Lepisosteus oculatus: one gene and its partners. The main gene of each other region encodes a partner of the protein of the gene in region 3 in a complex. Links are inferred from orthologs where the notes say so. Each region holds a gene or a part of one and is shown on either strand. Other genes may lie near its edges. The genes, in order: b9d2, mks1, tmem67 and ahi1.

Region 1 (7,155 bases), on a different chromosome or scaffold from region 3:
CTGTTCTTTCCAGATGGAGTAAAAAAAAATAATCAAAAAGCAAACCCCAAAAAATCCAGGTCAGTGCAAGTCTTCCATTCACCCAGATGGATATTTCTTCCCCATAACTGAATTCTGCAAACCCCTCGTTTTTCATAGGAACTACAGTATAACCCTTGACAGTGGGAGTCAACGTTAGCTTGTCTTCATCCATCCAAGAAACAAAGAGCAAGGGTTAACTCTGCTGAAACTGCAGTTCAGAATGCTTGACGTCACTGCACAGCACATGTGAAAAGATGCGGTCCTCTTGCAGTAAAAGGGAGGCCCACAGCAAAGTGTGTGGACACACTGAAAACATCAGTACAGAAACATCAGCTCTGAGCTGGAGACAACATACTGTAAGGTGAAATTGATCTTAAAAAAAAGTGTGCTCAATACAAATGGCAATTTTATGCATTCATAAATCAAACTCTGGGCCATTTCAGTTCACTGTTAAATACAGCGCAGAAACCATTAACCAAAGGAAGAAGGTTTACATAGATGTGCATTAAAATGAGTTAACTCGACAGATGAACAGACAATGTGCTGTAAGGTATGATTACAGTTGTGGGGCAACATTTATGTTGTTTTTTTCCAAATCACAGAGACTGAGAGGACAGGAAGAAAGGGGAAACAGAGAGAGAAAGGAGAGGAACAGAATGAGAAACAGGAAGAAAAGGGGAAAGACAGGAGAGAGGACAGAAAGAGAAGAGAGGTAAGCAACTGAGACAGGGAAAAGGGAAAGAGAAGGAGGAGGAAGTACCTTGCAGTCCCTTGGTGGCAAAGTGTAGGTCTATGGGATGGCTCCAATAGGCCACTTCACCAATCTGGGGAGAGTCCACCTGTGTCTGCCCTTCCCTCAGCCCTGACAGCAGGCGCCATGCCCCTCCTGCAACACACACAACACTGTAACGCACGTGCACTGTGTCCTCACTGAGATAAGGGAGGACATCAAATCATTGAAGGTTTAGAACTGAGTGAAGGTAGGCCTGATCATGGCTGGTGAATACCTGTGTGGACACCCCACTTGCAGAAGAGGCTGTTCTGAGGGAAGCCACTGGCCCCCACAATCTGGCCTATAATGTGCAGCTCCGCCATCCTGCTGAGAGAGAAACACCCTTACACACTGGCAGACACAAGACACAACAGAACACCGTTACACACTGGCAGACAGAAGATACAACAGAACACCGTTACACACTGGCAGACACAAGACACAACAGGACACTATTTCACACTGACACTGGAAAGATAAATGAAATACAGGTACTGTCAAAACTTTAAGCCTGTATACAAGTAAAGCAAAAAAAGTGAATGATACTGTATACGAAATACACTTCACAGGTAAGGTAGATTGTTCTCATTATCAGCATCATCCTGTAGCAATAGCCATCTATTCTGCCATCTCGTCACAGGTTTACGGACACCCTCATCTTACAACAATGCTGGCTGGTCCCTGAACTGTTCCGGCACCGAGACCAGCTGTCAGTGCTAACGATCTGACCTGGGAAATCATACCTCACCTAAAGGCTGCTGCGCTGAGGAAGAAATCAGATCACAGAGGCAAAGAGCACCATACTGCAATGTGAGAGAGGACTACACTGCAGTGGGCACTGGCCAGGGTTATTTTAGAACAGGAGCACCCATAACCTTGTGAAACATTCCAATGGATTTCTATTACATGCATAGGGAACAATGGTGATAAATAAAGGTCATATAATTGTTAGGTGACAAACAAGATGAATGTGCTTCCCCTTCGTTTCCACTTGTTCGCTTGTTTTGCTCTGTTGATTCTGAAGACATCCAATGGGCTGATGTTCTCAATGGCCCGGAGGATTTTAAACACCCGAGTCAGTTCCTTCACCTTTGAAGAACGTTCATTGGATGATCAATTCACAGACTCACTTAATTAACTTGCTCTCATATTGAGCCCACTGAAGTGCTGGTCTGTATGTCTGGAAAAACATTACCATCACGCAGGGGGACCAGTGGATACCAGCAGATTAAACCATGGAACATGACCAAGGGGACACACACTGTACTGTATGTAAACTATGCTGAAACGCTTTAAGAGCATAGAACAAACGCTTCTTTAGCCAAAGAGTAGGGAACAAAACAAGCTACCCAGCCTTGTTGTTGAAACCATTTCACAGACGTCTTTACTAAAACGATTGGATAAGCTCCTTGGATCAATTAATAACCATCAAATGGGCTAGATGGCCTCCTCTTTTGTAATGTAATCTTTATAATATTATTGCTGATCTTCTTATGTCTAATCTGTCTTATGTTCTTATCACACTGCTCAGATTCAGTGCAGATGCATCCTCAAAGCTGCATTCTTCAATCTATTAATGATACAATTGCTTCTTTCAGGCTACTCTGTTGTTACAAACTGGAAAATAATGATTCAATTTAATTTTAATCACTCTGAAATTAAGTTGGGAGTGAAAAGGGGAAGGCACTTGTGGTAGGATGCTCTTAACTCACGTTTTAACGCATTTTATAGCATGCTGTTACGAACCCATTGTTAATAAATCACACACTATGCACTGTGATAGAAATACGAGCTGTTTCCTACTGGCAGGCGCGTCAAGTTACTTGCAGAAAAAAATCAGGTGTTTGATCCTTGTAAAATAATAACTCCAGAAACCTGGAAAAGGGTGTGAAATAACATTTTATTCTACTGTAACATCACACCGTTCCGTTATCTGGCACAACCTAGACCAGTCTGTCCAGTTACCAGATAGTAAACAATGCAGGTGCTGTTCCAAGCGGTAAAGACGCTCTCGAGATTGTATTTCATGTAATATAAAAAAACAGCTTTATAGAGTGGTGAGACACCTCACGACTTAATCCCGAAGACACCGAAATTTTACCTTCAATCCTCCCGGTGCTTTCCAGGTTTGTTTTACTTCATTAATCAAATTAACTTTCCTTGTTTACATTCAAGCGGCGGTCTCCAGGGCTAGAGAGGCGAGTCCCCGCCACTTCCTTAGCAACCCGACACCGGGCTCTGCCATTGGTCCTTGATGTCACGTGGTCCCGGGCTCGGGTTTTTTTTTAAGGTAGTCGGGACGCTGTCGAACCGCCGTCCGGGAAGTACTGTAATTACAGGTAAAATAAAGTGAGCTGATCTGACCAAACAATCGATCAATGAGAGCTGGCCCAAAACCAAATGGTACCACGAGGATCAAGTTCCCATCGATGAGTTACTGCAGGTAACACCCGTGGGCTCTTTATCGATTAATGACCCACCCCAGTGCGTGTTCTCCACGCAGGCGTGCGTGGAGACTGACGGACCTGCTCGAAATATCGCCCTGGACCTATGCCTTGGTTTCCCCTGAGTGTGTACGAAGTGTCATTGCTCCATTCATCTTATAACTAGCACACATAAAGAGTATTGCAGTGGAACAGTACAGTTCTGACACACTGCGCGGAACGGTACTGATGTGTACTACATTACAAGGATAAGGAAAACGAACAGTTGGTGCAGAACTGTGCAGTAACAAGTCGAAAGCCGTTAACTACAATCGGTACAATCAATCGTCTAACACTGCCGGCAGGCGGAGCCTTGGTGCCACTTTCCGAGCCCTGCGACGACTCCTTTCGCCGTATCCGAGTCGGTGATACAGGTTTATGATAATGTGGACTTGTAAAGGTTATGCAGAAGTAATATGAAAACTAAAAATACATGTGTAAAACCTGAAAATCTTAAGTTATTTCGGACAGAAGGCGCTTAATAAAGGTAGTGTACGTGTACACTCTTGCCAATTTGTTACTACAGCGACTATTGCTACAACCGCTCCTGCTGCGGCTACCGTGAGTACCACCGCTACAGGTGTTAAAACTATCGCTGCAGTTACTACGGTCACTAGTACTAACACTGTTGTGTATACTACTAATACTGCTGCTGGTCCTGGTGCTGTCGCTACAGCAACTAGTTGGCCTATCGGTACTGCTTACAACAACCCAAATTGCAGCTACATCTGTTGCTGACTTATTTTCCCGTAAGCTGCCCCTGAATTGACGGGGAGGGAGAGAGACGAGCAGACTGTTTTCACACGCTTCGCCGAGGGCCTGGGGTTTAAGAGTTAGGACAGAGAGAGAGGGGGGGTTGTGAAAAAACTTCGCGTGGAAATGCAGGGGTAGGCAGCCGCGGTTGAGAGCGCCCAGCCGAGAAATGAGCTCGGGCCGCCGCTGTCTTCAACAGGTGACGGCCGGCGGAGTGTGCGGACCAGGCGCCGCGATAAATAAATAAGCACTCGGGCGGAATGAGAGCGGCCCGTAACCAAGGCGCTGCGTGGTTCACAGGACAACCGCACACATACACACACACACAGCCGACACGAGAACACAAACACGGAACTCGCACTCGCGGAAGGGAAAATACATTCACGCACAAAACAAAAAAACAACCCCACGCAGGATCGGCGGCACGACCGCAAGACGACGCGGGCGCGCCACGGCCTCCCACGCCAAAGCTGAAGGACGGGCGTTCATAGAGCAGCCAGAGGGCTGAGGAGGTTCTTTCCTTTGAAAGCCGATATATGAGCATACTGCGACTGGCGAGATCACGGGTACACTCCCTGTACATTAAGGGGAAGATGGATACGCAGACAGACGAACAGAAACACACGGACGCGGAGCCGGCACACACCGTAAGAGGCGCGCACTGATCTGCACTGGGGAGCGAGGAGGACGAATGAAGAGTCGCCCAGACGCTTTCTAATCTCAAGACAACGTAGACGCAGAAAAAAATATATATAATCACCTTACAAGGTAAGGATATGTCCAGTGGCCACTGCAGTGTAGGTAAGGATATGTCATTTTAACCTTTTACAATGGGGGACTAAAGTAATATACAGTGGAACAGTCCTGTTACAGTAGGAGCTACAGTCCCAGTACAGTAGAACAGTCCTGTTACAGTAGGAGCTACAGTCCCAGTACAGTAGAACAATCCTGTTACAGTAGGGGCTACAGTCCCAGTACAGTAGAACAGTCCTGTTACAATAGGGGCTACAGTCCCAGTACAGTGGAACAGTCCTGTTACAATAGGAGCTACAGTCCCAGTACAGTGGAACAGTCCTGTTACAATAGGAGCTACAGTCCCAGTACAGTAGAACAGTCCTGTTACAATAGGGGCTACAGTCCCAGTACAGTGGAACAGTCCTGTTACAGTAGGGGCTACAGTCCCAGTACAGTGGAACAGTCCTGTTACAATAGGAGCTACAGCCCCAGCACAGTAGAACAGTCCTGTTACAATAGGAGTTACAGTCCCAGTACAGTAGAACAGTCCTGTTACAATAGGAGCTACAGTCCCAGTACAGTAGAACAGTCCTGTTACAGTAGGGGCTACAGTCCCAGTACAGTGGAACAGTCCTGTTACAATAGGAGCTACAGTCCCAGTACAGTGGAACAGTCCTGTTACAATAGGGGCTACAGTCCCAGTACAGTGGAACAGTCCTGTTACAGTAGGGGCTACAGTCCCAGTACAGTGGAACAGTCCTGTTACAATAGGAGCTACAGCCCCAGCACAGTAGAACAGTCCTGTTACAATAGGAGTTACAGTCCCAGTACAGTAGAACAGTCCTGTTACAGTAGGAGCTACAGTCCCAGTAGAGTAGAACAGTCCTGTTACAGTAGGAGCTACAGTCCCAGTACAGTAGAACAGTCCTGTTACAGTAGGGGCTACAGTCCCAGTACAGTGGAACAGTCCTGTTACAATAGGAGCTACAGTCCCAGTACAGTGGAACAGTCCTGTTACAGTAGGGGCTACAGTCCCAGTACAGTGGAACAGTCCTGTTACAATAGGGGCTACAGTCCCAGTACAGTGGAACAGTCCTGTTACAGTAGGGGCTACAGTCCCAGTACAGTGGAACAGTCCTGTTACAATAGGAGTTACAGTCCCAGTGCAGTCGAGCAGTCTGATGCAACTTGAAAGATTAGCAATATTTCAGGGTTCCAGTTCAGAAGCAGATGAGTGCAGATTAGAAACATGGTGGTCTTTTCATTCTGTGTTTGGCAGCTGCCTCCTTACCCACACCTGTCTCATACCTCCGTGCAGTTGCCATGGAGAAGTTTGAAAAGCTGGCGAAGATCGGCGAGGGCTCGTACGGCGTGGTGTTCAAGTGCCGGAACCGGGACACGGGCCAGATTGTGGCCGTGAAGCGGTTTGTGGAATCCGAGGATGACCCTGTTATCAGGAAAATTGCCCTGAGAGAAATCCGCATGTTAAAGGTACAGGGAGGGGGCGAGAAGGATGAGCCAGGCAGGGCAGAGTGACGGGAGAGGTGGAGAGGGGAGAGAGCCCTGCTGAGCTGGGTCCAGGCAAGAGCTCACTGTCCTGGGCCACACCGACAGCAGCCTGCCTAAGGTCCACACTGCTCAGGCCAGACACGCGCACACAGCTTCACCCACCAAATCAACACAATCACACACACAGCTTCACCCACCCAATCAACACAATCACACACAGCTTCACCCACCAAATCAACACAGTCACACACACAGCTTCACCCACCAAATCAACACAATCACACACACAGTTTCACACACCAAATCAACACAATCACACACAGCTTCACCCACCCAGTCAACACAATCACACACAGCTTCACCCACCCAGTCAACACAATCACACACAGCTTCACCCACCCAGTCAACACAATCACACACAGCTTCACCCACCCAGTCAACACAATCACACACAGCTTCACCCACCCAGTCAACACAATCACACACACAGCTTCACCCACCCAGTCAACACAATCACACACAGCAGCCGAGTATCTGACCAGGGTGAGAGACAGCAAGGTGAAACAGACCCTGATTAAACACAGGCCCAGTGACCGCTGCCTGGCCTTAGAAACTGGACACAGACAGACCTGACTGTCCAGAGAGGACAGCCTCAGTGACCACAGTCTGGCCATAGACACTGGACACAGACTGACCTGACTGTCCAGAGAGGACAGCCTCAGTGACCACAGTCTGGCCATAGACACTGGACACAGACTGACCTGACTGTCCAGAGAGGACAGGCTCAGTGACCACAGTCTGGCCATAGAAACTGGACACGGACTGACCTGACTGTCCAGAGAGGACAGGCTCAGTGACCACAGCCTGGCCATAGACACTGGA
Region 2 (7,465 bases), on a different chromosome or scaffold from region 3:
GAAGGAAATGGAACAGATGATATCAACTGGTCAAAAATAACCGCATTGCCTAAAATATGATTTCATCATTTCGCTAGATCTCTTGTGCTCCTCTAAGGGGCCCAATGAGAGACCCAGAGGCTGGGCTTGTTTGGTTCTGGCTCGGTTCTGAGGTGAATACAGATCCTGAGGCGTTCGTGTCGATGGCCCGGCAGTCTCTCGTGCTCTGGAGACGCCGGCTGTGTGTTTGAAGCCCTGCTCTGGCTTGAGCTGGGAACGTGTGCACAGGGAGCCTGACTCTTCCTCGGACCAGCGCTGTCCGCGGTATCCCCGCAGAGAGAGACCAGAAATGGGGACTCTGTGCTTCATCTTTCCCCGAAGGGGAACGTAGAGGAATCCGGAATAGTTGGCGATCATTCCCTTCTGCGCCACCGCTGCTTTCTTGCTCTGTCCCAGATCCCAGGTGTGAGAGGAAGAGTGGGAATTCAGATTCTTCCACATGCCAGTTTTGGAGTGAAGGAAGCCAAGGCTGATGTGGGAGATGTGAAGAAGCCCCAGAGCACTGACCCGCCTGCTTGTGTTTCAGCACCCACAGCAGCGCTCATGGGCGCCAGACCCGCGGTGGTGTACCGGCCATGTGGGGGCGCTGTCTGCACCCTGAATCTAGGAACTCTCCTGCTCTGACGCTGCTGTGCCAGGACTGTGCTGCTCCCATGGGGAGCCTGGACAGGGTCGGTGAAGACCCTCTGGGGTGCAGACTGCCTCCCCTGGAGCCTCTGCTGGGACAGAATATTCCTGAACCGTTGTGGGACGTTCGTGTCCGTTATCTCGAGGCAAAGATCATGAGCAGGAAGCATCCAAGCATGGAGTAGAAGACAAGATTGGGAAGTGTAAGTGGGCCTGAAAGTAATCTGTCTCTAGAAAAGCCCCACGTGCTGCTGCAGGCATTGGATTTCTTCCGGTACCTGTGGCTGCTCCCTTTCAGATCTTTTTCTCCAGCAGCCGTGAGTCAGGTTGAACAGAAAACATGCCCCCAGGCCAGACCTGCTGCTGCCTGTAATGTGTGAGACTGAGGTGCATTGTCCACATTTTCAAGGGATGCTCAATCACTATTTTAAAGCAAAGAGTCTGCATAGATTCTGATCTCTTTAAAAACTTTGATGAAAGTCTTTCATATACACACCAGCTCGATTGAATACCTGTTTGGCGCAATCGTGTGGCCCTTGACTGTACACAGTCCTGTTAACTCCAGCAGCTGTGGAGCAGTGTGATTCAGTCCAGTCTTGTAACATTGGCAGTCTGCAACAACAATGAGGTAACGTCCTGGAGTGTCCCAACTACTGCTTGCTGTGACAAATGAATGTGCACTTGAAGAGGGTGTCCTTAAGTATCTGGGCCTGATTATTTTTGCCTGTGAGCAAGGGGTTGGCAATCTGATTTGTTTATTGTGGAATGGGCTGTTTGCACACCATTTGCCTAAAGGGAAAATAAATTCCATTATGATCAAAATTTGGGGACTTTGTGCAGAGAAAGCATGTCGGTACATATATCTGTATCTTTCCACATACCCATATATTTAAAATACAAAAAGTTGGGTTTCCTTGTAGCAATGGGGGACCAGATGTGAAAATTTTAGAAAGGGAAGGCTTTTTTACCCTTGTGTGTGTGGTGGGGGGGGTCGACGCTTCATGTTTTTAATGAAGAGGAACAACAGCTACACATTTTGTTTTGTCCACTGAGTGAACAGCGAACAAGAGATTTGTTATAAGACGCTGATATTTACTCCTGGTCCTGGTAGCTACATTGGTAACTTACAAATCCTCAGTGGTGGAAGACTTATGAAACAGTAGTAATATAGATTAGTAAAGTGAACAGTTAATTTAAGAGTCCAGGGTGGAATGAAAACCAAAACATGGCTCTTCAGGAGCAGGAGTCGATATCCCTGCTTTCGATTAGAAATAAGTGTCCTATTGCATAGTATTTTGATTCATTTCAGTTATTTAAGTCTGCAATCTCTTATATATGGATGTTTATGGATTATTCAGTGTATTTGCATATATCCATTTAGTTAAAATGCAATTAGTGCTTTTTATGCTACAGCTCTTACCAACACTGCAGCTGGTAATTCCTGGAGTGGATCAAAATGCTCTGTTGTGGGAGGTGAGTTCTTTATTTTTTTTTTCCCCCCAGAGACTTTTGCAAGCAGAAAAAGGTTTTGTCACATAGTACGTCAATATTTTGTTAAATGACTGCTCATTTGCTTTTAAATTGGATGCCTTTGCTGGAAGTGTTTTTATTGTGCTGAGCATGTTCATTGTCTGGGCTTGACACTGTGTGAGTGGCGGAAGCAAGTCTTGGCTACTGTTGCTCATGCTTCAGCTTTGTGATGTTCAAGCGTAAATTGTTAAAAATCACGTCAAATCAAATTCCTACAATAACCGGTTTCCAGAGACTTAAAATAAGTAGTGCTGGGATGTATGTTTTTGTTTTTTGTACAGAACTTTGAAAATGTGTTTATTTAACTTTTTTTTTTAATTAAGCAAATCACAGCTTACCTCCATCCTCCAATTTTTTGAAGAGGCTGTAGTGGTGTGTTCTACAGTGCTTCTGTACTGCTGCTACAGCTGTTTCAGTGACACACCTGCGTATTTTAGAGATGTCAAGATCAAACTTCCTCCCACACTCTATAAAGACATGCTGGTGGGGTAATTGGCTTCTGGGAAGATTGTCTGTGCCCTGTGATAAACTGGGGTCCCATCCAGGCTGGGTCTTGCCCTGTGCCTGTTGGTTGGGGGAAGAGGGTGGAGAGTTCAGGGTCATGTTAGTGCCCTGTTGGTATGACCTTTGACCCTCTCCCCAGTACAAATAAAACTAACGTGTTGAGAATGAAGATAGTTATTAAAGCCCACTTTTCCTGAACTGAAAGCAAATCAATTAAGATGTACAATTATTGTGGAACGACTCAAAGTGCACAGCAGAGAGTCGTGAGTGTGCTTAGAGTTCAGCCTTTTTAGTTTTTCCCAACCTGTCAAGATGTTACACATTAGCGCTGTAGAAGCGATAGGTCTGTGAGTGAGACGGCTGAAGCAGCAGAAGAAGAGACTTAGAGCCCTGAGCCTGGCTCTGCCAGATCATGTTCTCACCAGATTGCTGGTGTGCTGGTCCTGTAACAAACACATCCACAGAGAGAGAAGGCTGTCAGTCCCCTATCATGAAACAAAGGCAAAACCTCCTGTTGGTTCTGCAAAGTCTGCTTGAGGTTTCTGATTCATAATTGTGTATTACTACGTTTTATTTTTTTCAAAAAGAAGGAGTTGGAGGGAGAAAAAAGAATTTGTATACAAATTGTATTTTAATGGAAGCTGAAAATGTATTTTTAAAGTACTGGACAACAACTTTTTATAAAGGAGCTGTGGATTTGGATGAACTGTGTGTTTTTTTTCAGATACTTTCTTACCACATTACCTTGTTTAACAATTCGGGGTTCAAGGAGTATCTTCCAAAACAAGATGATTGATTATACATGTAATATCTGTGAATTCAAGCTTACAGGAATATCTGTAAAAGGCCCACATGGAACAATAAAAATCTTGATGTGTAACTCGTCATCTCCATTGAGCATCTGAAAGGATGTCCTGATTAAGAAGAGGGTTTGCATTCTTGTACCTCTGGGTTTGATTGGTGGTTGTGGGGCCTGTCTGTGTGGAGTTTGCGTGTTCTCTCCTGGTGCGCGTGTGGTTTTAGCTGTGGTTTCCTCCCAGGAGCTGATGAGGAGCCCCTGCTAGCACACTGTAGTCGTAGCCCTGCGGCCCAGCCTTGTCCTCTCGGGATGGGCTGTCCTGCTCCGGCTCTGGCCAGGACTGGCGGCCTTCCGCTCGTCGCCAGGGCCACTGGGGGGATGATCTTAGGATGTTTCAATATATTTCAATATAGCGCCTTCTTTTCTCTGTGACGCATAAAACACCAAAGTCATGAGTTTGTGCTGGCTGTAGGGGGGCCAACTTCATGGAGCTCAAGGTAAGCCCTGCATGGTATTATAAATACAATATTTTGTACGTATTTTGAACCTTGCATTTTTGCCTTGTGTTCATTGTGTTTTGCAATAAAATATTGACTTCAGAGTAACTTGTAAAACTACTGAACAATCTAAAAGCAGGCATACGAAATACTTAGAACCGTTACAAGCAATAAGTAAAAATGAGCTCTTGCAGCTTTTCTTTAGCTAAAGACAGAGTCCTCATACGAGAGACCTTAGCAAACTAGCTGTCATTTGAACGGGATTTTGCCGACTCTCTAGACCGTGACGAGATTATCGCCATATTGAATTCCAAGCCCCGACGCCTGCGTCTGGTCTAGAAGGCCAAAACCTCACCAGAGGTAGGCACTGATTGTTTTTTTTTTTTGCATGTGTCCGTCGTGGCTCAGTAGCGTGCAGCAGCCTAGGTAATTGTGTGTGAGAGAGAGAGAGACCGTGTATATATACAGTATGAGGTTCCGCTAATTCTGCTGTTTGATTATACCGCTCGAGGATGACATTGTAAATTGAAGGGGTGCCCCTATGCTGGCAGGACGGTCAGTTAGAGCCCGGTCCACCCCAAAATCAAGTCCTGGCTACAGCCCCTGCCTCCACCGCCCTGTGTCGGTAAACCGCAGGAAACGAGCCCTGCCGTTACCGTGACAACACACACGTCCGCAAAGATGGCGGAGGGCTGGAGTGTGGATACGGGGGAAGGGGTTTATCGCTCCAGGGATCCAGTCGAAAACCTGAAAATAAGGTAACCAGGAAAGACCCGAAAACAAGAAAGATTTGAACGTACAAACAGAGCACTTCACAGATTCGTGCTGGTTCTTCTTGCCGGGAGTAACGTGGTATATTCAACGTTGCGAGTTCAGCTCGCCGGTTGAACATAACGATAACGCGTGTAAAGTGCACGTTCAGACAGCATCTAATCCAGTAGCGTTTTTAAAAAGAAGTACAGCATGTATTTCGACGTTTGCTTTTGGAGGTATTCCCGACATTCGCTACTTTATATTTTATATAAACGTAAGGGGTTGTTACATCCAAATGTAACGTTAGAGTTGTTTACAGTTTGTAAAGGAGGATTATGCTCGTACAGCTCCCTTTACTGTCGTATCGCAATTCTGAACACAATTCAGTGCTGTCTCGGTGCTGGAGTGTAGCAGAGTAACCTGTCAGTGTGGTGCAGCGCTGTCTCAGTGTGGCAGTGCTGGAGTGGAGCAGAGTACTGTGTCAGCATGTTGTGTCTCTGTGTTGCAGGGTGCGGCTCCAGCGCATCACGTCCCCCACGGTGTTCTCCCAACAGCTCCAGCAGCAGGCCTCTGCCCTGCAGGAGAAGGGCCTCATTGAGCTCCTCACCTTCAGTGCTCAAGCCAGCTCAGGTGAGTATGTGTGCAGGGCCCAGGCCCTCTTTAACTGGGACCAGTTTCCTGAGGAGATCCATATCCAAAGGGTGTTAGTAGGACGTCTGAACGCCTTCGTGTCTGGATCTCAGGTCAGGGAGTTAGCGCCAGCACAGAGCTTCCAGCATGGCAGTCGCTGATATGGAGCAAACCAGAGAAAAGTACAACCAGAGAGTATATATTTCCTACTGACGTCAGCTGGTGCTGATACCGTTTCTTGAGTGCTGGCAGTTCTTTAAAGAGATGCATTTCCGCTGCCAGGGTAAGGGTGTCCCGCCACACGCTCGCACACACTGTAGGAACACGGGTTCTGGTTTGTTTGTTGGCAGTGAGGACTGTGGAGGAGCGCAGTGCAAGTGGCGGCCAGTGTCTGCTGGGGGCCGCTCAGTAACGGGCCTGTCTTGTGTTCCAGCAGGCGGTCAGCAGGACGACAAGGAGGACGTGACGGTGGGCTGGCAGGAGAAGCTCTTCAGTCAGGTGGGGGCCCGGTAATTGGTCAGGTGGGGGCCTGTTCAGTAATTACAGATGCAGTAATAACATCGGCTGGGCGCTTCCCTGTCCTGATGGCAGTAGGGGTTACTCAGTCTTCAGTGAAAAAGCAGGAGGTACTGTAATGTGCTCAGGCTGCCACACCTGAAGAGTGTGACAGGGCCCTGGTGCTGTGGTGGGGACTGTGTTCCTCGCGCTCTGCGCTGGACGTCCTCGGAGAGAGTTCCCACACTCCCTTCTCTTCACGAGTCCAACCGAGTGAGGCTGCACACAGCACTGTCCAGTCTTAGGAAATCCAGGGAAAGGAGAGATGGATGTTTCTGAAAAGTGTGAAATGAATCCAGGAAGTCACCTAAAGCTGCATTATTATTGGGATTATTTTGCTCTACAATGATTTTGTTCCTGAAGAACCATGTCCGTGTTTTTAATAGGGAACCTATTTTTTCATGCCAAGCGCTAGCGTCTGCAGTAGGAGTGTAGTGGGAGCTGGGCTTTGTCTTTTCCCTGAGATGTTTCTCCTGACCTGTGGGGTGTGTGCAGAGTGAGGTGGCCCTGCTGCAGACCGAGGCGGCATGTCGAAGCCCCCTGGAGAGGCAGTACCATGCTGAGATCGCTGCTCTGGAGAGGGCAGGGGGGCGGGCCAGCCGCAGGATCTTCACCTACACCGACTGCGACCTGCTGTCCGGGGAGATGGAGGTGGGTCCGCTCTGCAACTGGCTCGGGCTTTAAAGGGCCAGAGATGCTTTCATGTTTATTGTGTGGCTGCTGCTCTTTCCTTGAATGGCTGTCTGTTGTTGCCTGTAGGATGCAAGGCAGAGTGCATATGAAGATGAGAGCACTTAGTCGCATTTGTGTGTCTCTGCAGCACAGTCTCCCAGTGCTGAACCCGGACTGGGCTGCCCCCACCTTGCTGGCGGAGAGAATGGCGCATGTGAGGCACAGGAGACAGGAGAGGCGCCCAGTGTGAGCAGCAGTCTCTTCTTCCCGCTCTGGCTGTACACATACACACAGCGCTGATAAACATTACTTTGCAAATAAATACAGCATTATGTAAAAGATGTAATATTTATTTGTACATTTATATGTTTTTTGCAAGTTTTTGTGAAACATGGCTCTTGGATACAAAACAAATTCGTAAGAAATCTGCCGAAGTATTATCATTTTGGATTGTACTGTGCCCATTTCATGGCCTGAGACAAGCTGAGTGTTACCTTTTTTAGGGACCTTTTAGTTACTCTCTGCCGTTCTTGAGGGCTCACAGAATGATTTGGTGTCCTAAGCTGAAGGAAAACGCCTCAAATGGTGTTGCATGGTGTAAGGAACTGTAACCTCCAAATATCACTTTGCCACCTTCACCTTCTATCCAGGGCCCACTCTGCTTCTCAATACGTTGTGACCTGTATGATGTCAAGCTACTGTTCACAACAGAAAAGAAAATGGTAAAATCTTCAGCCACATCACAATGTGATGTTTAAGACCAGCATGGTGCTGGCTGGGTGCAGTTCTACTTGTACCGTATGAGCCTGGATCTCTGTCTGACTTTGACTTTCCCACACCTGGCTTCTGCCCTCCAGGG
Region 3 (6,914 bases):
AAAAAATACATCTCAAAAGGCATTTACCCACAAAGCAATTCAGCATCAGACAATAACTTAAGAATTGTAAATTGCATCCTGTGAAACAATGATAAACTTCTTCATATCACTTTCTCACATATGAAAGCTTTAAACCAACAGCTACAAAATAATCATAAAAAACATAAGATACACAACAATTCAACAACAAAACAGGAAAATATGTATACAATGTGATATGCTCCTCTGAGTCCTGTAAGAAAAGTATTACTTCAATAAGGCAAATCAGAGCTGAACAAAGTATACTTGTATACATAGGTATGTTTTTAAGAGGCATTAAAAATACGTACTGGTGTACCAGATGGACCACAAACACAGGAGAGGGATGTATTGACAAAGGATTCTTGACATCTGACACACCTGTGAGAAAACAGAACATACAGTAAACAATTTCTAGAAATACTTTATGTCTGAGGGAGATTTACTAAAAATGAGTCATTTACCTGTCTCCAGGAACATCTGGGACTGTAAAAACAGGTTTTTCAGCAATACAGGGCTCACACTTCCCTTCTTCCAGCTGCCTTCCGTTGACATCCCTTTCAACTGGTGGGGGAAATGTGAGGTCAGTAAGAAAAATAACATACACACAACATGGAGAAATGGTTAATATATGCGTTTATAATTAAGTCAATACAAGCATGCATTCCTTCAATTAAGCAGACATTAAGAACAATAGAGGAAGTATTTCCCACAGTAATATCTGTTTCCATGAAATGCAGCTCAAGGGCAAACTCCAGTCCCAATTTCTCACATATCAAATCTCGGTAGCAATATGACTCCATTGACAGTTTAGACAAATTTGACAAATTTTGAATTAAGCACAAACTCGTGAACTTTGGGAAAGTACCGTTAAGTTGCCATGTTGTCTCCAACTCACATTCAAGTTCCCCAGAAGTGTGATGTGATGCGGCCCTTCCTGCTCACTAGTCACTGTAATGACTGATGTAACGTGATGTTCAGAGTGAATAACAGATTGTGCAGCAGATATTGCACCACAGAAAGTTTCCAATGTGATATGCATGCAGAGTTAAACAAGCAAGAGTCACTTCACGTCACTGGAAATTTTGTTACCTCGTTCTGAATGGCAGAACATGGCGCTGCATGTGATGGAAACTGGAGGTTTTACAAGTTACTGTGTACATTTGACTGTTATTGTGGTTTGAAATGCACTCATCAATGCTGATGTTTTCTAAATCCGAAATTTAAAAACAGTGTTCCAGTTCTCCCTTAACTCGCTAGGGAGATTGTAGATTTAAAACAATCTTACCCAGTATACTTCCAGCTGAGCACTGGCATGTTCCATCGTCATTCAAACCTCCTGGGCATCTGATACATCCAAAGCCATCCCTGGTGACTCCCTGTTATGACAGACAGGAGATATACCCAGAAACATAAAAACAACAGAGATGTCATACCTGGGAAGGTGTGCTGTGAACAGTTGCTTTTTAAGCCTGACTTAAAAAGACCAATACCTGTCACGCTACCCCGCCACAACACAAAAGAATGTGGACATCGTTACACAAAGTGTTGTGGGAGCATGGAACAAGCCAGGACCTTAGTTTCTCGCAAGAAATGGCTGGCTGAGATCCTTGGATCACTTAGCTACTAGCAACCAAATGGGCTAGATGGGCTCTTAGCAACATCCCCTTATTCCCGAGGATGGTAAATTAGTAACAGAACAGAAAAGAAGGATGATACAAGGGCAATTTTCAGAGCACACATTGACTAAACCTCATATAGTATATGGAGGGATGTTTGCTTGTTACGCCTTCTGGCATTTAGGGGCAGAAACACCCTGTTTTTAGTATTTTACAGAACAGGGTTGTTAGCCTTGTGCCCGACCTCCAACATGGAGGACCTGGCGCCTGACTTGGGACATGAACCCACTACCCTGAGATTGTGAGTCTCATGCACTACCAATGGAGCTAGTCAGGGCCCCAAGGGTATATGGACGTGGTTTAAAAAGAAAGAGTGTAAAAAGATAAAGATGTTGGCTGTGTGATCTGTGAATGTGTGATTGTGTGTTGAAATCTTAAAAACATAAGCGATATCAAAATTAAAACCATAAGTCAGGAGTATCAGGGAGAAATAAAATAACTCCAACTTTTGTTTCCTATACAGCCTACATTTAAGTTATTTTTCAGCTTCTTAATGAAAGAAGAAACTGCACTGAAGTAGAAGAATCATACCTTTTTTGTATCAGGACATTTTTCGCAGGTTGCAGGTTCTCCGTTATTAGATACCAGTACGAATCCAGTCTCGCATATACACGAAGTCCCTGTAACACAAAGCACTAAACATATTGAGTTGTTCTCTTATCCTTAGGAACACAGAAGAATGACACAATTATTAGGAATGATGACGGAAGTATAAAGTTGACAGATACTTTGTTTTCACGATCTGCCTGCAACCACAATGTATCACCTAAAACCATATTTTTCAGATCCAGTTCAGCCCGTTGCTTAACATCGATTGAAGAAATATGCAGCAGCATTTAGGTAAACCAGAATTTTACGTCTCGTCTATTTTAATTGTATCTTACATTAATTAATGAGACTATGATAACTTCAGTTTGTTGTTTTTTTTTCATTTGCATTTTACAATAATGTGATTAACTAAATGACATACAAATTTACGACAAAATTGCTGTTTGGAAAGTCATTCTGGCGGAGACCTATTTTGACATCTTGTGTTGACTCCATTGATGAAGAAGATAAATCAGAAGGGCGCCGAGCCGATTTATATACTAGCATCAAATACTACTGATACTTACCATCTGCGTTTTTGATTTGGTTAGGTCCGCACTTCACGCAGGAGAGACTTGAAATGTCAAAATATTGTTCTCTGCTGCACCCTGAGGGTTGCTGAAAGGGAATGGAGAATTGCTGACAACTGTAAATACCTGATTTCAGCAACACAAATAAAATAGATCTGCACATAAAGACACATAGCGTCCCTGTCGCCATGGTAGACAGCCTTCCTGTTTCCCAGAATCCAACCGTCCAAAACCCGGAGCCTTGTGCTGTTGCTGTCAGGCTTGTGGGAATGTTTTCATGAGTCTGAGAGGAAAGGAGGTGTGTTTGCTGATCGATGTGGTTACCACCGAACACATTATATACACTGTACATAGCACAGTTAGATTTTTTGTCATAGCATTAAGCATGTTTGCTTATTTTTTTCGTAATGAAGATAGGAATTGTTTTTTGAACGAGATAATAAATCTTGATTAGAAAGGAATTTCGTTTTTTTTTGCCAGCTTTTAGCTTTTAAATTGATGCTTCTCGTAGATATACCTTGTGGAAGTGAAGTAATGTTTTACCAAAAGCACATGAACGATTTGTGTCAGGAATTACATATGAAAACCAATGTAAATAAGGAAGTGTGATTATACATCCTGTTTTTGAAAGGCTCTTATATGCTTTGAGTTTATGGAGCCTTCAGTGTTGAGAAGTAGTTAAAAAATCCTCTAGCTCAGTTTGCATTACATTTAGTAAATGGCTTCTTTATTATTCCAGGTATGATGCAAGCATTGACTTAAATAATTCAATCCTATAAATCTGGTCAAGCTGTAGTCTTTTGACAGTGGCATTTATATTTAACTACATGAAAAAATGATCAGTTTATAAACATACACTCAGAAGGATCTAAATCATTTAATTATTAAATTCAAAGCGGTTACAAATTATAAACTGCTAACTAGTCAGAAAGATTAGAAGATGTATGAACCTGAGCCTGTGACTGGCCTTAAATACAGCCTATATAGTGTCTGCACTTTACAGCATTAGTTCACACAAAGCCGTTTTTATGTTCCAGTGTACCATCAACATATCAAAAGACAAAGAGGCTATTTTAGAATGAAGCATTTCAATTTGGGATGGTTTAGAGTTTAGTCTAAAATATTCAAGTGAAGATTCTCAAAAATGCATAGATCTGAAACCTTTGAAGTGTCCAATATGTTTTGGATCAATGCATTACAGAGAAAGTAACCCGTTCATCCTTATCAATGGAAAAATGAAAGTGTCTAGTAGATATGCGCTTACATGCGAAAAAGCACAATAAGAGATACAGTACTAAGGCTACGGTACAGTATAAACTAAAGTATAGCTAACCCAAGTGTTATGATTATTTTTTTTCGAAAAGAAGAAACACGTTTTGGCTATTCTGAGTTTCCGTAGATGGTGACGTTCTTTGTAATTGACGTTTTCCTCGTTGTTTGGAGGGGGGACGCCATTTTCTTCTAATATCGAAATTTACCTGTATTGGGGAGTGATTCGGGACATCTGGAGATTATATTTTCTGTTGGCCTGGACAAGTAATCATTTTTATTCTATATTTGTTGTACGTAAGGCAATTGCGTGGGTTCTGGGTTTTTCCGTGTACTTCCATGAAACCGTCTAATTATTGTCTGAGTGCTCAGGACCTTTCGGTTTATGTTGTTAACCCGCAGTTTTGTTACGTGTCCATAGGCTATTTCAAATATAATGTGTTGTATTTTTTAATAGTTGCTTAATTTAACGAAACGGTTCTCAGATATTCGTTTCCTTCCCGTTATACTGTAGTTTTAAATTTCCTGGCACTTTGTCCAGTGTTGTTTTGTGTTTTTGTTGATACCGTTAGTGCATCTGTTTTCTTAAACGGGTGTTAAAATAATGTATTTGATTGATTAACCGCTGCTGGATTATGAAATAACGTGCAGCAGTTTTTTTTTCCCAATTGCTTTAGGTTCATCGATGAGATTAGATAACGTGATGAGAGGTACATAACAGAGTGAGGCAGCGTGTTTGCTTTTACCACAAAAGCGACCTGTTTTCAGTTATTTTGTTTGTTGCCTGTGTATGCCATTTACTGTTTTGTACTGTAATACAATTTGAACGATATCCGGTACATCTTAAATTAGGCTTTAACGACCGAGTCACTTTGGAAGACGGCAAATACAATAAGGGTTTCATGCAGAATTTAAAATACAGTATAGGGGTTAATTTAACGGATGCGTGAAGACATTTGTGAAACAATTACTCGTTTTGTGGGCCGCCAGGCGCGGTGTTCTGTTTGCAGAAATCACAGTCATTCATTAACTTGGTTTGGATTAACCTAGTTGCATTTTGACGTCCTCGCAGTGATTTAGGAGGTTGAAGGAGACGTGCCACTTTTTTTTTCATTGCAGAGACCGGAGGGGGGGTCGGTCGGTCTTGATGCTCCACTCAGTGGACACCCAGTCCAGTCGACTCCCACCACACGACCCCTGCTATTCGGTCCTTCCCTCAGTTACAGTCTCTGAACATGCGACAGACAACAGCAGCAACGCCTTAAAATGCCAATCAGGAGAGGTGCAAATCCAAAACACCGGCAGCAATTAAGCACAGTTTGAGAACCTCCCAACAGGTTTTTGTTGCCTATGTAGTCATTAAGTTTGCGGGAACCTGGTATGCTCTTCTTTCTTCTGATATTATGGTTGTCACAACAAAGCAGCACTTTTAACTTCTGTGGGTTCACTGGAAGAAAACCCGTCTGTTTTCCTCTGAATAATCTGTCAAATCAGTATAATTGCAAGGGATAGGGCTGCGTCATTTATTTGGAAACTTTCACTTAGCACCTGGTCTGGGGGGTCTGACTGCTCATAGGGGGGTTTAAAATGAAAAGTGCAATGTTGTATAAGAAAGTAAGGATTTATTCTATGCATGTTGTAGTCTGATTTTTGCTGTAATTTAGTGTGTGGATGGGATTTCCACTTGCTGTTTAGAAAGTACGTAATCTTTTCTGCCACACAATTTCCTTGTTTTTCCAGGCATGGGTTTTTTTTTAATTGGTAAAAGATGAAATGCATGTTTTAGAGTAAATTAAAATGAATCTTTATTCTAAAATAGAATTGCAGTTAAAAGCTTTTTAATTAAAAATTATATTTAAAAATAATATATTTTTTAACAGCTCACTTCTCTATCTAATGACTAGGGAAGATGTATACAGTATGGTAGAAACAGTTTCATTTTTTGTTCTGAAGTTTGCTGTTGCTGTTGCTTGGTTTTTATCTGGAAAGCAAATTGGTTAATTTCCTTGAGTCGATCCATCAGAGACTTTGATATTTCTTAGTTCACCTTGATGTGAACAACAACTGCACCTTGAATTCTGCAGGAAATGAATTCATCCTACCCACAGGTCTGTGGATGAGAGCTGTTTTTTTTAAAGCAGTGACGGGGTCACTTAACGTTGTGTGATTTTACTGCCTGGGAGATCTTCGGCTAAGTTTTCTTGATCTCAGTCATTGTTTGTGAAATTTATCTGTGATGTTTTTTTTTATCATCATCTTCGTTCTTTCTGTCCGTGATGGCTTTGGATAGTTTTGTTTTAGGGTTTGAATCTCTTCAATAGCTTGTTGTTTCGGTACTGAAGTAAATTGAGGTGGGCTTTTTTTTACGATACATTGAAATCTGTGTAGATGAATAAATGTCTGTTTAAATCAAGCTTGTCATCTGGATAATATAGATGATTTTTTTCAATATTATTGATTGATATCTGTTTGGCATAAAGAGAATGGAGTGGATACACGGAACATGGGAGCCCTCACTCTACTGAATTGCTTGGTCCCACTTTGTGCAATTTGCACTTAAGCAAGAGATCCGTCTTGGTACATTCCTCAAGCATTGCCACTGCATTGGATGTGACAGAAACATTCAAAAGCAAGAACACTTTCCAGTGGAAATTGGACATCGGGAGCTTTTGTATTTGGTGTGGATAATACTGATGTTTGTTCCAGAAAATGGAGTGAAGCAAGAAGACTGATCTGTGTTCTTTATGAACAGAGAAGATGGAGGATTTCTCTAGACTTTCATAAACGCTTGTTTCTTTCTTTCTTAGTGTCTAGTTATGATTTTTTCCTG
Region 4 (7,946 bases), on a different chromosome or scaffold from region 3:
CAAAACAGGCACTGACCTGTTGGCTGCTCTGTACTGGAGAGGGCTAGAGGGCCTACAAGAGGAGTAGCAAGTGCTAATGCTCTCTGATTGCAAATTAATAGATCTCTTCCCTCAGAAGAGGCAGTCTCACCTCGTACCCCGAGCAACCAGGATGTCACTCCAAGCTACTATTACCCTGACTCAAAATAAGTGGGTGTCTATTGTAACAAATATAAGAAATATAAGATATCCCTGTAATCTCAATCATAAAGAGAGGAAAAAAACCCTACATTCAGTTTTTTAAAAACTTTTACCTACATTTGATATTACATTTAGATGCCTAATGATCAAATGTAGCTAAAATTACTTTTCGGAAACTGAATACAGTAAAGGCTTTCTGCCTCATTTCTTCAGAATTACAGGTTTATCTTCTTTTTGTTACAGAAACACAACAGGTTCTTGTCAATGCAGCAATGCAGGTGGTCCAATGCCGCTCCTGTTATATCAATATATGTCAGCACAGAGGTTTTCATTCAAACTGAGCACTTAAATCATCTCATTACTGACTTAACTGTACCAATACATCAACTTCTCCCAGCTCTTCAGGTGCTGCTGACTTACAAAGTGGTCCTCCAACACCAGAGATGGAGCACCTAATACTCTGTTCAGCTCCTTAACTGTCACAGTTACTGTATAAATAGCTGCAATGTCTACACTATCTAGTCCCTACACAGTGGTTTCAGATATGAATTTTCAATAGTATTAGAATATCTAATGAGAATTTATGTAACCAGGACTACTGGAAATTATTATCTGTGAATCTATCGTTGTAATTGTAACTGAAAAATAAGATTCTAACAATAAGATCTTAATATTCTTCTGGTCTTCATATTGCCTCAGAAATGTCAGCATTCAGAATATTGTGCATCATAAATTTCCATTACAAAAACATTATTTGGGGATGTTTGAGAATAACAACCAGGCAAAGTTTGAGTCTGTTTCATTGCTTCAGCACTGCTTATCTTTCAATAACTTAAATACAGGTCTGAAATTGGTCTTGGCAAGTCTGGTGTCCCCCAGGGCTCAATACTGGGCCCCTTGCTCTTCAGCATTTACATGTTCCCACTTGGTCAGCTTTTAAGATCACATGGCCTCAGCTTTCATTTTTACGCTGACGATACTCAAATATACATCCATACCAAACCTGACACTGATGTGGCTGTCTCTATTCTATCTAATTGCATCTCTGACATAAAAATTTGGATGACTCAAAACTTCCTTCATCTTAACTGTGACAAGACTGAAGTCATGCTTATTGGTACCCCCCATCAAGACTATGCCCTATGCTATCATTTACTGTGGCTGAAAAGATGATCAACATATTTGTATTCTCTCGAATTGACTACTGCAATGCTCTACTCCCTGGGGGTATCTAAATCTACTCTGAACAAGCTGCAGTATGTCCAAAATTCAGCAGCCAGAATCCTGACCAGGTCTAGTGCAAGTGTTCACATTACTCCTATCCTGGAGTCCTTGCACTGGCTTCCGGTCAAATTCCGCGTAGACTTTAAAATCCTCATGCTCACCTATAAGGCTTTACATGGCTTGGCACCTCAATACCTGTCTGAACTTTTATCGCCCTACTCCCGACCTCGCAACCTCCGCTCTTCAAATTCTGCCCTCCTTATTGTCCCCCAAGCCCGTCTACATTGTATGGGCGACAGGGCCTTCTCCTGCTATGCCCCCAAGTTCTGGAACTCTTTGCCCCAGGATATTAGAGAGCCACCTTCTCTAAACTTCTTCAAATCCAGACTCAAAACCTTCTTCTTCAGAAAAGCCTTTACTTAACTGGTTCCATTCTTCACCCCTCTGCTCTTCTTAGTAATACCTTCCACGGTCTCCCCCTATTGTTATTGTTGTATTGTTGTAATTATAATTGTGTCCTATCTTGTGAAATCTTCTTATTTATTGTTGTAGTCTTCTTATTTATTGTTATTGTCATCCTGTAAAGCGCTTTGAGAAGCCACCTTTAAAGGTGCTATATAAAATAAAGTGTATTATTATTATTATTATTATTATTATTATTATTATTATTATTATTAAATGTTTAAGGTTAGTTTACAGAGGAAATTAACTGTAGAACTACTTCCAGACTTCATGTACCTTGTAATAACACCAAGTATAGTTCTAGTCATGAGCTGTGAAACCAGTGGTTTTAAATGTATTTGTTTGGCTTGAATTTCAATAGCATCATAGCATCTTGTCATTTATCCCACACACAGCGTGTGCAGCTTGCATCTACAGAGCTGTACATTTTACTGGAACAATCTGGCTCAAGGGACAACAGCAGTGTCCCACACGAAATTCGAACCCACAACCCTCCAGTTATATACAGTAGGTAAACTACTCCTCCAGTGCTTAGTTTACATTTCAGGAGTACTACATTTTTTCTTTTTGCGAATATATTCTTGACTGAAGAATCAAACCTATGTAGCGACTTCAGAAACTTGAACGCTCTTCTCTAAATCTCAACATCACATCAGCTTAAGCTTTACGGTGATGTTTCGGTGAATGATGGAGAGATAACAGTCAATTCTATACAACCCTACTGGTATCAGACACCACAACATGACTCACGTCTAGTCCTTAGCAACAGTGCCGAATGACATATTGAGAAAACAGAACCCAAACATGAAATCGCGATCAAGATGCTACATAAAAATAATTAGAAAACAGCATCCTCCGCAAACTTTACTCCCGCAATCAAAACAAGCTGAACTCATATTTTAAATACTGAAATGCATGCTGAGTCTCGAGACACGTACCTGTGTACATTGTTATTCTGCGGACTTTTGTGTGTGTCGTTTACTGTATTAAAACACGAATCAACACACCAGGACAGACAAATGCATCAATGGAGTCAAGCCGTCACGATGGTTTCTCAAACAACAACATTGGCGAGAGCCGCTGTCCGTGTGACGCCACAGCACGCCGTCGCCAATCAGAATCAAGCGTCCTCTCCTGCGGCAGACAGTAGGGTAGGGTGTCTTGTGCAGTGGCGCAGGGAACAAATCTGTGCGTGCGGGGTCATAGAAACCAACAAATTACAGGAGACTAGAGTAAAGTTGGGGTTTGTGACTCTGGTCTGTTGTGCGCTCTTTTTTAAATCTTCCAGTCGTAGTCATGTTTCAATGTGAATGAACATCATTTTTAATTCTTATTAGTTCGACAGAGTATATATTAAAAGTGCAAAAACACCAAACAAGAAAGGCTGCACGAAGCACACGTAATTGCAACGTTGTCAAATAATTTACGTTTTGCTATTAAGGCACAATGGCATATGTATCACATTTAAAGTGTGTGATTTGCATACATTGGTGGGTGAATGTGAGTTGAACTTAAGCTTAAATTTACAGGATGTCCATATTTGAAATTGTGCAAGCCGGACACTGCTTAAAACTGAAAGTATTATTATATCGTTCAATTTCACACGATGCCTTCTTAATATTTCAAACCTCGACTGAGTGATTGGTTAGTGTAATAATACATTGATATTTACTCTATAAGCAATTTTCTGCCTTAACATTTCAAAATATGATTATAATGTTTGAAATGTTTTAGTATGTTTATGCGTTGATCTATTTAAACGATGTTTTGTGCTGTACTGCATGAGAAGCACCGTTCAAATACAATCATTGTTACCATATTTAATTATCTGCAAATTATTGAACATAATCTTAATTGTTTTTCTTACTTTCACTGAAAAACCTTTCATCATTGGTGTAAATTTACTGTACGCACAATGCACTGTAATGGTTGTGCTGCATTGTGTTGTTGCCACCAGGTGGAGATCAGATACCACCAAACTAAATAGCTCCTGCATTTGCCACCTGATTATGAGAAATTCTGTCTGTAAACTCCTTTGCATAAACATTTACTTATATAACACGGGATGAATGTATGTTCGGTCATGGTTCATTCCAAACAGTTAGTTTTACAAAATAACCAGAACTATGACTTGGCAGGAAACCTGTTTCAGTTTGTCTCTTGGATCAGTTTAAAGGGCCAAATCAGCCAGGCATTTCTTCATCTCTAGGTGCTAATTCCATGAGTGGTTTGTGATACACTTCACTGTATTATGGTTCCCTCCTCCTTTGGAAATTGCATTGTTTTTTTTTTGCAGTGATTTTGAATGGTAATCTTTTCTGCTCTCTAGTTATTCTACTGCCTCTAATTTAGCTTACCTACAGCTGTTATTCTGCAAGGATCAGCACCCAGGCACCTTATTTACTTCCACACCTAGTCTCTTGGTTGTCTAATCTTATTTCACAGGTACCACTTCTTTGTTCTTTGTTAACAATGCTCAGATTCCTTTCTCCTTTCTCTTCCATAATTCTGGCATTTGTGCAACAGTGTTTCAGTTACAGTATGTCCTCATGGAATAACTCCTCTACTTCAAGGTCATATTTTTCAAGTCAGACATATTATATATTCTATAATCGTCTTCCTTGCTTACTATTGATTTTTCTGTCCATCTATTTCTGACCACTTTATCCAATACAAGGGAGCTGGAGCCTAACCCAGATATACCCTGAGATATACACTGGAATAGAACACCAAGGTACACACTGAGAAAACACAGACATACAGTACACATGCACACACACACTCACTTTGGATTCTGGGAGGAAACTGCAGCACCCGGAGGAAACCACTCAAACCAGGTAATCCTCTACCATACTTTTCTTAGCCATCTGCTCCATAAAACTTTTGGTCCAAAACCATATATTTTGTAGACTGAGCTACCTCAGCTGTTTTGTTTTATGCTCTCCACACTTTAGAGATCTGCACCACCTCTTCCATATTTAATGAAAACTCTGTTGCTCATTTTGTATATAATCTATCCCTCTCCTGCTTCATATCTGTTGCCACTTTCACCCTCTCATATTTAGCAGCTGGCTTCCTTTCCTTTCTCTCCTACATGCCTTGTCCACTCACTCGTCTCAAACATTCCCTTGTGGTGTAAGCAGCTACCAGAATCTAACGCTCTCTCTAACCCCTACCATAACACTCTCTCTGTAACCACTGTCCTGTGCCTTCTTAAAACACATGTACTGTGACTTGAAATAAATGTGATTTATTTATCTTTCGTGTGATCTATAAACTACTCGTTTTACTATTTCACACTCTCTATTACAAATCAGGTTACAAAATCTTTAGCAAAGCAATGAAGCGAAACATTTTAGAGGATTTGCACAAAACAGAACCTAAGAGATTAATCAGAGAGATGAATCACAGAACCTAAATTACAAAACCACTTTTTTATGAAAAGGAAACCTTTCAAAATGATGAAGTTTTTTTTAACTAATGCAAAATTAAAAATCCGTGTTAAATATTAATGCCTTTTCTAAATTACTTTTCTTAAGTATTCAACATATTGTTAATGAACGTTTGATCGGTACTTGATTATAATACATTTATTGCTGTTATATTTCATTATGATCTACTGTATGCTCACTTTTGTAAAAGGAAAATGTACTTCATTCATTGAACTTGACTGTATGTGAGCAGCTCCATTTTAGGTTTGGGTTACCATTTAGAGCTTTCACCAAGCACCGTGACTTCTCTTTAAGATTGTCCTGTATGTCACCAGAGTGTCTTAATTTTATTATCTATCAGTTAATTCATCTGACAGTGTGTCACAGTACGTGCTAACACACTGATATACAGCATTTTTCCAGGGACCCACTGTGATTCTTCAGAAAATAAAAAAAATGCATCTTTAAATATATGTTGGCAGTAGGTTATTAATAGGTAGCAGACAAATCTACCTCCACCCTTTCCCCAAACCTAGAAGGTTAGCGCTAACTTTGCCATTGGCACGGTTTTCAGCCAGTTCACTAAATCAGGCGGACTCCTTCCTTCCTGCTGGGGTCACTTGCTGAGTTTATCATATCATTTATGCTACATCTTTGTATCTCCTAGGTTACATGCAATCTCTTCATTAAATTCTTTTTTGTTGTTGTTGCTGTGGGCGTTCTGTGTGAAAGCAAAATCAATGTTTAAAATCATGAGCTCCAGAGACCCTAACTTTATAAGAGTATATTGTAAAATATTATATTTAAGTTTGAGTCCTTTAATATATTATCATTAGTGTTCTGACAGTTGTGGAATATTTAAAACATTTGGATAAAGTAGAATTATAAAGACCCATTCATTAATATTTTCTTGCTTGATTTTCCTTTAGCTCTACTTTGTAGAGGCAGGGCAAATGACGTGCACAACTCATATACAAGCAACAGTTAAATTTATATCTAATAGTGTTTCAAAGGAAGTGTTTTCCATTAGACCCACTTTAAGTCCTTCACCAGAATTTCTCTTAGATTTATTTGTGGGGGGTTTTCCATGCTACAGAACTAAAAAATGGAGGCATCACAGCATGGGCTTAACCTTTGTACTTTGTGAGTAATGTGCTGACGTCACGCCTTCCAGATTTAGGCATTCCTTGATTAAACCATCACGTTCTTGTGGGAAAAAAAACTTGTAGTGAATGCGAATCATGAGCTTCTACAAGTATGGCTTGATAGCTATGTGCCATATCCTTTATTTAATTTTGTGTAAGATGCAGATATTCACTCAGATATTAATTCTGTACTGTGTGTCTGTCAGACTATAACTAAAGTCCACACCCATTTGTAGCATTTCATGAGCTTATCACCACCAGCTCAGTTTTACACATTTTGCTTGCTTCTCCACTGACCAAAAAAACAAAATAAATAGAACATTTTTATTTTGACAAATTAGATTCTCTTCTTATTAATTATTGAAGATGCATCCATGAAATCAGTTTTTTACGGAGTCACAGGCAGCTCAGATGGCACACAGACACAAATATGATAAATATACTGATGGAAAAAAGAAATGCAGCACCTCTTCCTCCACACTCTGGCCCTCCTGTCTGAATGGAACAGGCTGAAGAGTGACTCATCCATGAAAAGGACCTGATGCCACTGCTGACGAGTCCATCGCAGCCTCTGTCTGGACCAAGCCAGTCGGTTGTAACGTCTAGGAGGTGTAAGCAGAGGGCCTCTGACAGGTCGCCTTGCTCTAAGGTCAGTAGCATGGAGCCTCACTGTCCTGTCACTGATGTGGGCTTTGTTTCTGCCGGAAATTTCAGCAGCAGTATGGGTGGCAGATGTTTCAGATGGACCAGTCTGATGTGTCGGTCCTGCTCTGGTGAGGTCACTCTAGGGTGACCGAATCTTGGATGGTTATCTGTACTGCTGGTCTGCTGAAACCTTGACATGCCTACCAGCAGCATGCCAATGGCCCTCTCCCTTGCTTCTGGTGACATTCGAGGCATTATGGAATGCATAGAAATGCATAGAAAACTGACTACTGACCTAAGTGTGGCCTTTCTCTTGCAGTGACCTAAGCTTTGAATTAAGGCCTTTTTAAAGGTGACCTGATCAGGCATTGTTCCACCTGGACCTCAATGGGTAAAAGTGCACCTAACGAGCTTTCATGTGATTGGCAAGTTGCAATACTTCACTGCACAAGCCGTATTGCTGGTCAGGGGGCTTAAAACAAATTGACAACTTTTTGGGAAAGTACATAAGCTACAGTATAACTATAGTATTCTTGTTCCAGAAAATGGTGTGTTTCTTTTTTCCATCAGTATAGATACAAGGGGACCAGCAGCAAAAAAAAAGTTGTAGGCCAGGCATCAGGAACTCTAAACTTGGTCCTGTACACTAGCTGCGTTTTAACATGTTTTCTACATTCATCTGATGTCTGCCTGCTCCTCCTGTTCTGTGGTCTTCGTAGTCAATACTATAGTCTACACTGGCAGTGTGCACAGAGGGTCAGCAGCCCAGTAGAGTGTGAGGCCCCACTTCCTGCTCCATTTCTATCTGTTTCTTGTCTATTTTTACACATCTACTGTATGTCTGTTAAGTAGAGAAATA

Evidence for each region.
Region 1: tmem67 (region 3) and b9d2 share a complex: the UniProt entries of both Homo sapiens proteins name them as parts of the tectonic-like complex. The link is inferred for Lepisosteus oculatus from reciprocal best matches to the Homo sapiens genes TMEM67 and B9D2.
Region 2: tmem67 (region 3) and mks1 share a complex: the UniProt entries of both Homo sapiens proteins name them as parts of the tectonic-like complex. The link is inferred for Lepisosteus oculatus from reciprocal best matches to the Homo sapiens genes TMEM67 and MKS1.
Region 4: tmem67 (region 3) and ahi1 share a complex: the UniProt entries of both Homo sapiens proteins name them as parts of the tectonic-like complex. The link is inferred for Lepisosteus oculatus from reciprocal best matches to the Homo sapiens genes TMEM67 and AHI1.

The regions. Positions count from the first base shown.
Region 1 is NC_090698.1:6,671,922-6,679,076, reverse strand, and holds the start of b9d2 (B9 domain-containing protein 2), read right to left. Parts: upstream 3,009-7,155; 5' UTR 2,895-3,008; intron 1,121-2,894; 5' UTR 1,117-1,120; coding exon 1,029-1,116; intron 908-1,028; coding exon 782-907; intron 1-781. Other genes in the region: cyclin-dependent kinase-like 1, read left to right, coding at 6,088-6,255. UniProt on the Homo sapiens protein: Component of the tectonic-like complex, a complex localized at the transition zone of primary cilia and acting as a barrier that prevents diffusion of transmembrane proteins between the cilia and plasma membranes.
Region 2 is NC_090721.1:453,767-461,231, reverse strand, and holds the start of mks1 (tectonic-like complex member MKS1), read left to right. Parts: upstream 1-4,463; 5' UTR 4,464-4,677; coding exon 4,678-4,754; intron 4,755-5,257; coding exon 5,258-5,379; intron 5,380-5,812; coding exon 5,813-5,877; intron 5,878-6,429; coding exon 6,430-6,585; intron 6,586-6,754; coding exon 6,755-6,852; intron 6,853-7,463; coding exon 7,464-7,465. UniProt on the Homo sapiens protein: Component of the tectonic-like complex, a complex localized at the transition zone of primary cilia and acting as a barrier that prevents diffusion of transmembrane proteins between the cilia and plasma membranes.
Region 3 is NC_090705.1:7,410,559-7,417,472, reverse strand, and holds the start of tmem67 (meckelin), read right to left. Parts: upstream 3,023-6,914; 5' UTR 3,006-3,022; coding exon 2,813-3,005; intron 2,318-2,812; coding exon 2,229-2,317; intron 1,398-2,228; coding exon 1,307-1,397; intron 583-1,306; coding exon 483-582; intron 400-482; coding exon 330-399; intron 1-329. Other genes in the region: rbm12bb (RNA binding motif protein 12Bb), read left to right, coding at 6,172-6,192. UniProt on the Homo sapiens protein: Required for ciliary structure and function. Part of the tectonic-like complex which is required for tissue-specific ciliogenesis and may regulate ciliary membrane composition.
Region 4 is NC_090697.1:50,193,406-50,201,351, forward strand, and holds the start of ahi1 (jouberin), read right to left. Parts: upstream 3,016-7,946; 5' UTR 2,805-3,015; intron 1-2,804. UniProt on the Homo sapiens protein: Involved in vesicle trafficking and required for ciliogenesis, formation of primary non-motile cilium, and recruitment of RAB8A to the basal body of primary cilium.